Pelodiscus sinensis: one gene and its partner. The protein of the gene in region 2 interacts with the protein of the main gene of each other region in a pairwise test. Links are inferred from orthologs where the notes say so. Each region holds a gene or a part of one and is shown on either strand. Other genes may lie near its edges.

Region 1 (7,388 bases), on a different chromosome or scaffold from region 2:
CCCCAACGTCAGGCCCAGGCCAGCCCCGGGCACCTCCCTGCAACCGCCTCTGCCTCCCTCCGCCCAGGGCAGGAGGGGCAAGAATTACTGCTGGGGGCCCACTCCTAAAATGTGGCTAGTGGTCTAGGGCCATGCTCCTCCGTGGTATCATAGAATCATAGGACTGGCAGGGACCTCGAGAGGTCATCGAGTCCAGCCCCCTGCCCTCAAGGCAGGACCAAGCTCCGTCCACACCATCCCTGACAGATGTCTATCTAACCTGTTCTTAAATATCTCCAGAGAGGGAGATTCCACCACCTCCCTTGGCAATTTATTCCAATATTTGACCACCCTGACAGTTAGGAATTTTTTCCTAATGTCCAATCTAAACCTCCCCTGCTGCACTTTAAGCCCATTACTCCTTGTCCTGTCCTCAGAAACCAAGAGGAACAAATTTTCTCCTTCCTCCTTGTGACACCCTTTTAGATATTTGAAAACCGCTATCATGTCCCCCCTTAATCTTCTTTTTTCCAAACTAAACAAGCCCAGTTCATGAAGCCTGGCTTCATAGGTCATGTTCTCTAGACCTTTAATCATTCTTGTCGCTCTTCTCTGTACCCTTTCCAATTTCTCCACATCTTTCTTGAAATGTGGCACCCAGAACTGGACACAGTACTCCAGCTGAGGCCTAACTAGTGCAGAGTAGAGCGGCAGAATGACTTCACGAGTTTTGCTTACAACACACCTGTTGATACAACCTAGAATCATATTTGCTTTTTTTGCAACAGCATCACACTGTTGACTCATATTCAACTTGTGGTCCACTATGACCCCTAGATCCCTTTCCGCCATGCTCCTTCCCAGACAGTCGCTTCCCATCTTGTATGTCCCCCCATCACAGCCCCATCATAATTGCAGGACATGTCGTCACGCCCCCGGAGGGGGGTCGGCACAGACACACCAGGTCTAATCATTGGGACTGGGGGGAGGCGCCTCCGAAAATCCCGATGCCCCCCCGCCTGGATGTCCCCAAGACCGGCCATGTCTCGGCGGCACGGCCTCTTCAGGGGCAGGGGCTCCGAGCCGACCCCTGGGCGGTGCCGGTCCCGCTACCCCTAACGGCCGAGCGCACGTTTCCGGGGACCCAGAGCAGCGGGTGTGCGGGAGTCTCCCTCGTGTTTTAGACTGTACATTTCAATCGGTCACGAGACCCCCCTCCCAATGTTCCCCTGCCCCGTTTCTGGCCCCACTAAGGGGACCCAGAAGCCAAGGGGCTCTGGGAGGGGGATCCGGTTGCCGGCCTCCCCCCGTGAAGGGCGGGGCAGCCAGGCCATCGGACTCGGCACTCACGTGGTGAGGTCCCAGAGGCGCAGGGTGCCGTCCCAGGAGCCGGACAGGGCGAATTGCCCGTCGGAGGAGATGACCACGTCGCTGACGAAGTGCGAGTGGCCGCGCAGGGCCCGCTGCGGGATCCCGTAGTTGGTCTCGTCCCGCGTCAGCTTCCACATGATGATGGTTTTGTCTGCGCCCGGGGCGGGGGGGGCGTTAGTTCGCTCCCAGGGAGCTTTGGGGCCCCCTTGTCTCCCCAACCGGCGGCTCTTCCCATAGCGCTCTGCTCCCGCTCCGTCCCGGCACCCTCAGCTCTCGCATTCATGATCCTCAGCCCCCAGCAGGGTCAACGCACAACCAGTTTAATCATCGGGGCTGGGAGGAGGGGCGCAGAGCAGCCGGGCCCACCTGGGCAGAGCCCACCAGCAACCGGGTCAGCGCGGCCTGGCACAGCTCCGGGCAGGCGGACTCGGGAAGGCCCCAGGGCCCCTTTCTACGGGGCCACCCCCCCCATGGTGTTTGGGTCTCCACCCCCAGCCCAGCCCCCCTGCGTCAGCTACCTGAGGCGCCCCCCAACTCGGCCCTATCCCAGCAGCTCTACCAGTCACTGCCTCCCAGGTAGGACGGGCCTCACTGATGGGGAAACTGAGGCTGGGGGGAAATGCGGCCCGGAGGCACCCAGGGCCAGGAGGAGCCTCCGAGGTTGAGAGGCGCATGGAGGGGAGAGGGAATGGGGGGGGGGGGGGGACGGACAGGTGGGCGGGCAGGCCCCCGGCGAGGGGAGGAGGGGAAAGAAGAGCCGGGCACTGAACCCAAGCGCCCAGAGGCCCGGCCTGGAGCCTCCGAACCACCCCCAGGGGGGAATTTAACCCCCCACGCCCCAAGGTGCACCCCCAACCCCTTAGCCCCTCCCCCCACACCCCAAGGTGCATCCCCAACCCCTTAGCCCCTCCCCCCACACCCCAAGGTGCACCCCCGCCCCTTAGCCCCTCCCCCCACGTCCCAAGGTGCACCCCCGCCCCTTAGCCCCTCCCCCCACGGTGCACCCCCAACCCCTTAGCCCCTCCCCCACGCCTCAAGGTGCCCCCTTGCCCTGCCCCCCATCCCCTGGGGCCCCTCCCCCAGGCACCCCAACTCTGTGCCCCTCCCCCCAGCCACGTGGTCTGACCCACAAGACTGACCCCCCCCCGCTGAATGGTTCTTTCCCCTCCCCCCCCCGCACATGGACTCCCCCATTGCCCCCCTCTGCACTGAGATGGTCCCTCCCCCGCCACGTGGGCGAGTTGGTCTCTCCCTGCCGCTCCCCCACGTTTCCCCCCACCCGGGTGGTCTTTCCCGTCTCCCCCGCGCCGGGGGGGAGATGGTCTCTCCCGGGAGGGGAGGGGGCTCGACTAAGGAGATGGTCTCGCCCAACCGCCCGTGGCGCACGCGGGGGCAGATGGTGTCTCCCAACGGCCGCCCCGCGAGGGGAGCGCGCGCGGGCCGGGGGGATGGTCTCGCCCAAGCCCCCCCCCCGCGGGCCGGGGCCGATGGTCCCGCTCACCGCGCGAGGCCGAGAGGATCATGTCCGGGAACTGCGGGGTGGTGGCGATCTGCGTCACCCAGCCGTTGTGGCCCTTCAGCGTCCCGCGCAGCGTCATCTGCTCCGTCATGGCGGCGGATGGCGGCGGATGCGGAGCCGGACTCCCCCCGGCCTGGGCCTGCTCCCGGCGACGGCGAGAGCGGAAAGGAAGCGCCGGCCTGCCCCGGAAGCGGAAGCAGCCGCGGCTGCTTCCGTACGGCAAGATGGCCGCCCCCGGGCGGGAGCAGGGCCCGCAAGATGGCGGCGTTCTAATGGGAGCGACGTCTGCCGCGGAGCCATGGGGGCGGCCATCTTGGTTCCTTTTCCGTACAGCCCTTTCCCACGTGGGGGTGGGGGAGCTGGGTCTTGTGGTCTGGTTACAAAGGCCACGTGAAATAGCAGGGGGCCAATTAACATTAATTAATGTTAATTAATTAATTTTAATCCACTGATTCATTCTAGTCAATTAATGATCACGATGAATATGCAAATTAATCATCAGGTGAATATGCAAATGTGAGAGCTAATTAGCATGCAAAATAGGCGAGCTAATTAGCATGCGGAATATGTAAAATAATTCAGCATCCACACTGCCCTCTGGCGCAAGAGCTCCTGTGGAAGAGGGCTTACCCCTGTTAGAAGAGCGTGTAGCTCTCACGCAAGAAGCCCTCTCTTCCCACGCCGTGCTGTAAATTCCCTTGCGTGAGAGCGGGCGGGCCGTGTGGACGCTTTGCGGATTCTTCCGCAAGAACAGCCGCACTTGCGCAGGAAGCCGCGAGTGTAGCTATAACCTAAGTGTTTTCATAATCCATCCTACTAATTGTCCTTTGACTCCAATAAACCGTTGGCTTCCCGTAATGGCTGCGACAGTTGCTTTCAGAAGTTTATCTGTGAACATGCATTTCCTTGTTCCTGTTTTTAAAGTGTCCGCCCTTTCATTTCATTAGTTGCTCTTTCTCCTTCTTTGATATGAGAGAGAGGAAATCATAGAATCCTAGGATACCAGGACTGGAAGGGATGTCAAGAGGTCATCGAGTCCAGCCCCCTGCCCTCACGGCAGGACCAAATACTGTCTAGACCATCCCTGATAGACATTTATCTAACCTGCTCTTCAATATCTCCAGAGATGGGGATTCCACAACCTCCCTGGGCAATTTATTCCAGTGTTTGACCATCCTGACAGGCAGGAACTTTTTCCTAATGTCCAACCTAAACCTCCCTTGCTGCAGTTTAAGCCCATTGCTTCTTGTTCTATCCTCAGAGGCCAAGATGAACAAGTTTTCTCCCTCCTCCTTGTGACACCCTTTTAGATACCTGAAAATGGCTCTCATGTCCCCCTTCAGTCTTCTCCTTTCCAAACTAAACAAACCCAATTCTTTCAGCCTTCCCTCCTAGCTCCTGTTCTCTCGACCTTTCATCATTCTTGTTGCTCTTCTCTTGACCCTCTCCAACTTCTCCACATCTTTCTTGAAATGTGGTGCCCAGAACTGGACACAATCCTCCAACTGAGGCCTAACCAGCGCAGAGGAACGGAGGAATAAAAGCACAGAACCCTAGACCCAGCAGGGAACTCGAGAGCCATCAAGTCCAGTCCCCTGCCCTCACGGCAGGACCCAGCACCGTCTAGACCAGCGTTTCTCAACCAGGGTATGAGTCCCCTCAGGGGTACCCGAGAGACATCTGGGGGGTAAGTTTGCACCACTGAAATGTGGAGAAAACTGAATTTTTGTTTTAAGTTTTACAGCGTTGTATCGTTCTGTACTTTTCACACCGAAACATTTTATCACCCCCTCTGTGACGCTGAAGTTGTTTAAACATGTTGCAATGGCAGAAAAAAAACCATTGCGTTTTGAAAAAACTGTAGGTACTGGGGGTACTTACAATTTTTTTTAAAAGGGGTCCTCCCCCCCCCCCCCCCCCCGCATCCCCCTCCTGTTCTGAAACGTGATTTGTCCTTTTCATATTTGTTCATTTTTTTAATTGTATCCTTTGGTATATATGGTTGTGACTATTTTCTTCCACTAGTTGATCTGAGGAAGTGGGTCTGGCCCATGAAAGCTCATCACCTAATAAACCATCTTGTTAGTCTTTAAAGTGCTACATAGTCCTGTATTTTGTTTCATACAAAAAGATTGAGAATCACTGGCATAGGACCAGAAAACTTCAGGACCAGACTTCAAAGAGAAACTGCTGAGCTACAGCACAATGTAGCACTTTAAAGACTAACAAGATGGTTTATTATAATTATTATTATTATTATTTCTATCACTATGCTGAGCTACAGTTCATCTTCAAGTTTGACACCATCAGCTCAGGATTAAACAAAGACTGTGAATGGCTCGCTAACTACAAAAGCAGCTTCTCCTCTCTTGCTATTCACACCTCCAGATCAGCTACTAGAAGTGGGCCTCATCCTCCCTGATTGGATCCACCTCGTCATCTCCAGCCTGATCCTGGCCTGCATATTTATACCTGCCTCTGGAAATTTCCACTACATGCATCTGACGAAGTGGGTCTTTGCCCACGAAAGCTTATGCTCCTACACTTCAGTTAGTCTATAAGGTGCCACAGGACTCCTCGCTGCACTGGCATAGACCAGTTTTAGCCTAGTAATACTGGGAGGCAAAGAAACTGAAACAGTTCCCTTGGAAAAACAGTTTCGTACCATGGTATTTCTTTCAGATAACTCTTTATCTCTCCAGTATTAACAGCATGCAATAAACTTATTTGCCTTGACGTGGATGTTATGTGGAGAGTCTCACGTTGTTCAGCAGTATTCAGGTAGGTGATCTTTGCTCCTCTACATACCGTTTGGTCTGGGTTTTTCTCCCCCGGACTCACTCTGCGGCCTTTATTCTTTAGCCGAACATTTCATGTGAAATGGATCCTGGTCCTCGGAGGGCCACCGCTAAACCACCGTCCGTTTCGTACTTTGCCTGCAAATGATGCTAGAGCTATTCGCTGAGACCGGAGGCGTGTGCTTTCTTTCGCTGGCCACTCGCGTGGGGTCCGGGAGCAGAACCCTCTACCGTCACTAGCCCAGCGGGCTGCAGGAAGACGGGGAGCCATAGGAAACGACGTTCTTCTGCTGCGCTCTTGGTACGTTACCGGGGGATGTTTTATGGGATTTCCGGGAAGCTACTTTCTCCTCGCGGTCTCAAAGAAGGGGCACAGAGGAGAGTTGCGCCCTGTGGCCGGGTGTTTTCTGCTCGGGCCCCTTAATTCAGCACATTGTTCTGTTTTGGAAATGAAAACGAAAAAGTCCAAAGTTTGTTACAGTCGTTGCTCTGGGGCTGGGGGTGGGAGTGAGGGGTTCCGGCTGCCCTCGGTCACCGCAGCAGCTTGTGGCCAGGGGAGAAGCCCCGCTCCATGGCCACTGCAGCTCCAGGGGGCACAGCCGAGGGGAGAGGTGCATGCTCCCCACCCGGGGCAGATCCAGGTTCATCTGCCCCCCTGCACCTCCCAGCCAGAGTGAGAAAAGCAGCAAAGTGCACACTTTCCCCTCACGCCCTGAGGAAGGGGAGCAGCCAGACTTGTTGACCTATGAATCGAGGGGGGATTGTTTCAGCCCCCCCCTTCCCCAAGTGCCTACAAGGGTGGGAGGTTCGGGGCTGGGGCAGTCCCTGTTGGGGGGAGGTGCACTTTAACCTGCCTAGTGATTCTGCCTCTTTTCTGCAGGGTTTTCTGAGAACAGACAGACAGACACATCGACTGTCCCAAACCTAGAGCAGATCTGGAAGTTTTTGCTTGTAGAACCACCTCCCCCACTACCAGAGGGACTAGGTCTCAGGGCAGCTGAGGCAAAGTTCTTCCAACTGTAGTGTGGAGTTTGGGGCTCCAGTGGGGAACCTGGCAGAAGAGGTGGGGGGGGGGGCTTTGGACACAACAGGTTGGGGCTGAGGACCTGTCCCTGTCAGCCGACGGTCAGGGCAGTGTGTGTGTGTGTGTTTCCGAGAAAAGGTTTAACGTCCGTGTCTTTACTGCTAGGACCGGGGTCCCGTCGCAGAGGGTGGCCAGCAGGCCAACAGACGCCCCGTTATATAGGAAGAGCTTATTACACCTTAGATTTTAGCTGCTAGAACACAAAGTTCCTTCGCAGAGGGCAGCCTAGGAAAGGCTGGAAAGGTGCCCCAACGGATCTTGTCACCTGGGAGTGACACAGATCCAAACGCCCAAGCTCTCCCTATGTCTGTCCCTTTATGACCGGCTGAAGTTCTTTTAAATTGTGCTTGGTTCTGTTACAGCAACTGAAGGAGTCAGGTTACAGCTTAAACAGTTACAGGTTTATTAAAGAAGCTTATAAATCATATGGTTACAATGGCTATTGCTCTATTTCTTAACTGCTAGCAAATATATATATATAGGTCTTAAAAATGATCACAGGAAAAAGGTAAAGATAGAAAATAGAAATAATGGTACCAAGTGACAGCTTAATCTTTAAAGAGCTCTAAGTCTATGTATATATATACTTAAACAAAGGACACATCCAGGTACAATTTTTACCCCTTTCTGTGCCTCT
Region 2 (7,029 bases):
CAACTGAGCGGGAGAGACTAGAGACTACAATGCAGAGATACAGAGCAGGAGAGTGCTACTAGACCAGGGTTTCCCAACCTAGGGGTCGGGACCCAAATATGAGTCGCCATTATATTTCAAAAGGGTCACCAGGTGGCTCCCCAGGTGGCTCTTAAGGAGTCATTCACACTTTTTTTTAATTGCCCTGGGTCAACAAGTCTTCCTGAATTGTCAAAATGGGTCCCCATCTGAAAAAGGTTGGGAACCACTGTGCTAGACACTTTACAGTAACTCCTCCCTATTTGGGGAAAGCTAGCTCCTCCTGTGACCTGAAGAGCAGTACCAGTGATCACAGATGCCTGGCAGAGCCTTCAGCTTTGAAGATAATATTACAAGGTACTTTGATAGAAAAGCTGCCTGCCAAATTTAACAGAGAAGAGTTGGGCCTGTACTGTTCAAGCAGCTCTAGCTCCAAATCTTAGCATTCAGAAGTCTTGACCAATTCAAAGTATTAACTTCCAGGAGTTATCCTTCAAAGCCAGCCTAGTGCCAGTCTCACTGTAAACTCCCTGAGGTTCTACTGATGTTTCTTCAGTGCTCAGGGTGACATTGACCTTTCCCCCTAGAACATTTTGGTAAATATCAAGGCAGGCAATGCAACAAACATGGTCACAGATCTTCAGCATCGCTCGGCCACAGAGGTTTAAAATTACAGACTTTCCTATCTCATTTGATATCATACTTGAAAAGGAATCAATTAAAGAGAGATTTGTTGCTCATATTTGAGTGAAATTATGCAGCAATGTAGGCAAGAAACAAACAGAGCTGAGGTCAAAACTAGGTATTGCTGCGCTCTTGAAAAGTCTGAGTCAGCTCTCTAGCACTTCTGGTGTTTATGTTCTTAAAGTTGTCATTCTGGTTCATCAACATGAAGAGACTACCCAACTGAACACTAGCCAAAATACAGCACTGAAGCAGAGATTCTGACAGTTAACCAATAAGGTTATGATTAACCAGTGGGGGCTGGAGCTGCCCCCATCCACAGTGGTGCTACTCCTGCACCTTCCTCCCCGCTCACCCTTGGTTAAACTTAATATTTAACCAGTTAACTAAACAGGATTTTACATCCCTACGCTGAAGCTCTGAGAAGACTAGCACCACACAGAAGCACCCTACGATGTTCAGTTTACTAACCCCTCAGAATAAATCAACTACTAATATAGTGCTCCAAAACATAAATAATTCATTGCAATATCTAGATATACCATATTTACATATGCACAGTTCACTTTGTATTAGAAACAAACAGCAGCCCTGGTAACCAGTTCTATACATAAGGTGCTCAGAGACCACAGAACTTTAAGCAATACAAGAACCAAGATAGAAAAGAATAGTGAACTTTCATATCCACATCGTTCTGGCAGGAATTCTGCAACACTGAACGTAAAAAGTAATATCCTGGCTCCATTAAGCTTATGCAATACAAGCTGCAGTCTGTTTATAGACCCACAAATGCTTGTGGCCAACTTCGTAACATTAGCACTCTTCTTCTAAATCACTTTACAGACATCAGTAGTGTCTAATTAGATCCTTAAATCACTCAGTATGTTTCAATATCATCCAGGCTCATCTCCAAAATGATAAAAGGTAACGACAATCTCAATAAATGCTCAATGTCACCACTCTCCTAAATTATTTTGGCTCATGTACTTGAAATTGTGATGCCTCTACTTACTTTATTTTCAGCACTATTAACAGCAGTTTCCCTGCATTTCTATCAGAAGCACTGTAGCCTTCAACAAAGAATAGACATATTTCTAAAATGTAAAGGTTGTAACTCACACGCCCCCAGTTTAGTTTGCGCATCTCATAATCTGATGTTCTGCTGAAAATTGTTGAGACATGGGAATAAAAACATGAAACGGATAAACTAAATATACTGTTAGCCCTAGCTGAGTCACCCATTGTTGAACAGTGGTACAATTTCAGTTCCAACTGTACTGTTTTAATTCTGAACCAAGACAGTCACTTGATTATATATTTGGACTTAAATATTGCCTCTTTAAAGTAATAAGCAGCTGATCCCCAAGTTACTTTTCCCCCAGAAAAAGCCACGGGAGAGCAAGAGACAGCGAGGGAGGGAGGCCAATCCTAAGATTAGGGTCAGGGAGAAATAGAAGTCAGGCAGTATGTAGGCATATCGCTAGACTCACTAGGTGACCAGGGCCCAGTCCTTTAGTTAGTGTGCGAGGCGGGGGAGGGGGGCGGACTCCCGCCTACTCCTATTTTTAGGCGGGCAACGCACTGTGCCGCTCTCAGGAGCCCGGAGCCGATCCCTTCCCTTCCCTTCCCCCTCCCCGGACAGCGCAGCATCTCCGGCCTCACAGCTATCCTCGGAGATACTCAGCGCGATCAGTCAGAGACCCCGCCCGGCACAGGACAAGGCGGTAGCCGCTGCCAGCCCCAGCCCCGAGCAGCAGGTACCCGCAGCTCCCCCCACCGACACACGCTCCCGCGTCCCGGCCCACCGCCCAACCAGCCCCCGCCGAGCACAGCTGAACTGTCTCCCGCCCGCCCCGGCTGGTGTGCGCGGGCCGGGCCGCCCCCCGTACCCGGCTGCGGCGGGGCTCCGGGCGCCGCAGGGCTCTCGGGCTGCAGGACCTTGCGCTCTTTCTGGGACTCCCTCTTGCCAGCGGCGGGGCCGGGCCTGGGGCCGGGACCGGGGCCGGGTTTCCTGGCGGCGGCGGCGGCCTCATCGCGCTTCCTGCGCTGCTGCTGGCGGCGCTCGGCCTCGCGGAGGACGTCGAAGGGGTCGGACTCGTCGTCCAGCAGCTGGTGGAAGCGGTTGGCGACGGCGCAGCCGAAACTCTCCTGCATGGCGGCGGCCACCGGGCTGCCCAGCGCCCCCTTCATCATCGCCGCGGCCACCCCGCCACCTCCGGGCGGCGGCGGCAGCTGCGGGCGCTACCAGGGCGCAACCGAGGCGCGCGGCAGGGCAGGAGCAAGGGACGGGCACAGAGCCGGGCCCGGCTCAGCAGGGCCGCCACAACCTCGCCATCGCCACTCGGTCCGTCCCGTCCCCTCGAGCGCCGCTGACCAACCAAAGCGCGTGCACCTCTCGCGGCCCGCCGCCAATCAGCGCACTGCACTGCGCTGCGCCCCCCCCCTCCTCCGCGAGCTCAGGCAACCAATCCCAGCCGCGGTAAAGCGCCACCAACCAATCAGCGCATTTGGTCCGGCCCAGTGAGGGCCATGGGAGCCAATCAAAGCCATGGGATGGCCACACGCCACCGACCAATAAAGTGACTGTGTCGTCACTGCGGGTAGCTTTGCCTCAGTTCTCAGCCCGCGTGCAGCATGTAACTGTTTCTCCTCCCCCCCCCCCCCCCGTGTGGCAAATCATTCTGTATGCCGCTTTTGATTATTCATGAGCAAATGTGGCCCGGATGAAGCAGGCAGTGGCGGGGCCCGGGCCCGGCAGACCACAGCCAATGGGCGGGGCTCCCTTTGCGCACAGCGCCAGGCCAGTGTCTCCCTGCGCCTCTCAGGGTTGTGAGATGTTTTGCCCCCAAAGTGTCACAGATCATTCCAGCCCCCATCTTGGTGCAGCCAGCTGGCATGAAGAATCTTTGCATCCACCTACGACCACCTCTGGAGGGGATGATTATACTGCAACCGAAAATCCCTTCGAGCACCATACTTAAGTGTCTGCATTGTACGGGACAGCCCCAGAGCTGGGTCCCTATTATTGGTAGTTAGGGCTGGATTTACAATTAGGTCCAGCAAACACATGCCAATGGGTGCCTAAAAATTAGAAGTGAGTTAAAAGATTCATTTTTAATGGAAAATGGAGGTCCTATAGGTAGAGAGCGTACTAAAAAGTGTGTATGGAGGGTGTAAACCTTGCCAGACTTGTAGGGCAAACCAACATACTCTAAGTGCTTTGGGACTGAGAGTCAAAGGCCTTTGTCAAATCAATGAGGATATAAGTAGATCCTACTTTTGCTCCAGTAACTTTTCCTGGATTTGGCAGGCAATGAAGATCATGTCAATTGTCCTACAGGATGGTCTACAACCACACTGATATTCTGGCCATATTTCTTCAGCAAGAGGAAGTACTGTAATTTGTTTAAGAGCATATGGGCAAGAATTTTTCCCTGTTGCAGATAACAAAGCAATAACTCAATAATTAACATACTCTGACTTGTTACCATTTTTAAGAATGGAGACAAGACATTGTAACTCATGTCTTCTGGAATCTTCTCATTATACCAGATATGAAGAAAAAAATTGTGGATCTTCCTTGCCACTTCTTCTCCAAATTTGTGGACTTCAATTAGTATGCCATCTGGCCCTGCTGACCTGTTGTTCTTGGTTTGCATAATTGCTCATGTTACTTCTTCAAGAGGGGAAGATCAACAAGTGATTCTTTTTCATGTTGTTGTGGTTTATATTTGCTAGTGGCATCAGAAAAAGTTGACTCACAATGCTCAAAATGCTACTTCCATCTGGCTTTGGTGTCCTTAAAATATTTTAACCCATCTTGGGCTCAGAGTGCTGTGAGTCCTCGGAAGCATGGACTGTAAATGGCCCTTATTACCTGAAAAAAGCTCCTTGTGTCATGTTTAATAGCATAAAGCTCAAAGTCCTTGGCTTTTTCTCACTACCATTTATTTTTTATATCAAAGACTTTCCTTTGGTCTCAAGCCTTTAGTTGCTTATATGACTCTTTCTTCGGCGGGTATGTCATTTTACCACATGCCATGTTCTTTTCTTTTCTGGTTGAACAGACCCTGAAACTCAGCATTATTCTCATCAAACCAGTCTCAGCAATGTGTCCATCACAAAGTCCTGTAGAAGGGTTTAGCCAAATTTGGGTTACCCTCCAAAATGTATTAAGATTCTAAGGTTTTTCTGTGATCAAATCATTGCCACAGTTCTCTGTAATGGTCTTTAGAGGGAACCTTTCTTCATCAAAACTGGGATTAAGCAAGGATATGTTATTGCCCAAATACTGTATTTAGCAGTCTTTTTCATCCTCGTTAAAGATCACCTCTCCAATTTCATTGACATAAAATATGGAATGGATGGGCAGCTCTTTAATCTTCTATGTCTCTGTTCGAAATCTAGTGTTTAGGGAGACCATTACTGATCTTCATTATGCTGATGACTGTGTCATCTTTGCACACACTGAAAATGACCATCAGATCATACTGAATTTCCTTGCCCAAGCTTACCACTCAATATTGGCTTGGCACTCAATATTGAGAAAACTAAAGTGTTCTGTCAAGTTGCTTAAGTCTTGCACATGACCCACCACAAATCACTATCAAAGATCAGACTTCTGGAGATAGTTAAGCACTTTTGCTACCTCAGTAGCCAACTTTCTCAAAGCACAAAAATCAACACTGAGGTCCAGCACAGGATCCAGTGTGCAAGTGATTTCTCTGGAAAATTTATATGATGTATTTTCATAGACCATGAATGACCTAGAGCAGAACACCAAGATCCTACACTCCTTTGTGAATGCAAAACCTGGGTGATCTATTGATAGCACAATAATCTGGAGAGGTATCACCAATAATACATCCAACCAGGGGTGCCCATTTCAGATTTTGGTGGGAAAGGCTGACCTGTGCAGGCCGTGATGGGTGGGAAGAGATTGAAAGTAGGAGGGGGAAGACTGAGGACGGAGACTTCATCCATGTTACTGAGCATGGTCAGTACAAGCCAAGCGCTTAATGGAGAAGGGAGGAACCAACCCCATCCGCTCTCCCCTCCATACACATCATCTATTCAGGGGCTACCAAAGTACTTGAAAACTCTACTTTTTTGGTAGACAATTTAGCGGTTAGCTGACAGGAGCACTGTATCTAATTCCTATATAAAAGAAAGAAAATTAAATAAATATTAGACACGGTCAGCTCTAGCACTAACATATTCTGACATCTTATGGCAAGTCACTTAAGGGATACTGGTTAGCCTTAAAATTGTAATGTATATTCTTACTTTGTTACTAACTCTATGGAGAGAGAGAGAGACCCCATCAGAACTCCTGGGCTCTGTCTCAGCTCTGGAAGAGGAGTGGAATCTAGTAGGTTACAGCAAGAGGGCAGATACATTTCAGCTCTATAAAAGATCAGAATGGCAATCAGACCAAAAGTCTTTCTAGCCCAGTGTCCTATGTTCCAACAGTGGTCTATGCCATGTCCTTCAGAAGGAATAAACAGAAGAAGCAATCATCATGATCCCTTGTCACCCATTCCCAGCTCTGGCAAACAGAAGCTAGGGACACCATCCCTGCCCATTCTGGCTAGTAAGCCATAGATGGACCTATCCTCCTTGAACTTATTTTGTTTTTATTGGAACCCTGCCATAGTTTGGGCTTTTCCACCATTTCCTGACAAAGAGTTCCACAAATTGATTGTGAAAAAATAATTTGTTTTAAATCTGCTGCCTATAAATTTAATTGGGTCAGCTTCTTGTGTTATGTTATTTATTTCTTTGCTAACATTTCCTTATTTTATTTTTCCACACCATTCCTGATTTTCATTTACTAGATATCCCCCATCCTTTAATTATTTCTTTTAAAAGCTGAGAAGTCCCAGTGTTTTTGATCTCTCCCAATATGGAAGCTGTTCCTTACCCCTAATAATTTCTGTTGCTCTTTCTGTATCTTTTTAGATGGGTTGACCATGCTGCTCTAGGCAAAGATCCAAAATGGAGTCTGAGGAGTTTAAAAATGGAGTCTTAGGGGTTTTTCTCCCTCAAACAGCTTTCCTGCCAAAACCTATAGGGAAGAAGGCTTTGCACTCCTCCCTGTCACCTATGCACACGGCTCCAGGCCTTTGCACTCTGCACTATGTCATGCGTGCGCATCTTTTCTCTGCACACCACCCTCTTTCCTTGTGCACACCGCCCACTCTAGCTGCACCCCTCTCACCCATTTTCCCACCTCAACTCCTTTATAAGCCTCCCCCCAAGGAGCATTCGTGTTGCTTGGATCTCCTTCGTCCATCTGTGTGTGTCGTCGTCTACCCCGAGGAGTCC

What was found.
Region 1: the proteins of HABP4 (region 2) and RACK1 interact in a two-hybrid assay, tested with the Homo sapiens proteins (2 studies listed by BioGRID). The link is inferred for Pelodiscus sinensis from reciprocal best matches to the Homo sapiens genes HABP4 and RACK1.

Annotation. Positions count from the first base shown.
Region 1 is NC_134742.1:1,208,709-1,216,096, reverse strand, and holds the start of RACK1 (small ribosomal subunit protein RACK1), read right to left. Parts: upstream 3,053-7,388; 5' UTR 2,961-3,052; coding exon 2,852-2,960; intron 1,502-2,851; coding exon 1,330-1,501; intron 1-1,329. UniProt on the Homo sapiens protein: Scaffolding protein involved in the recruitment, assembly and/or regulation of a variety of signaling molecules. Interacts with a wide variety of proteins and plays a role in many cellular processes.
Region 2 is NC_134716.1:43,957,058-43,964,086, reverse strand, and holds the start of HABP4 (intracellular hyaluronan-binding protein 4), read right to left. Parts: upstream 3,106-7,029; 5' UTR 2,896-3,105; coding exon 2,592-2,895; intron 1-2,591. UniProt on the Homo sapiens protein: Ribosome-binding protein that promotes ribosome hibernation, a process during which ribosomes are stabilized in an inactive state and preserved from proteasomal degradation.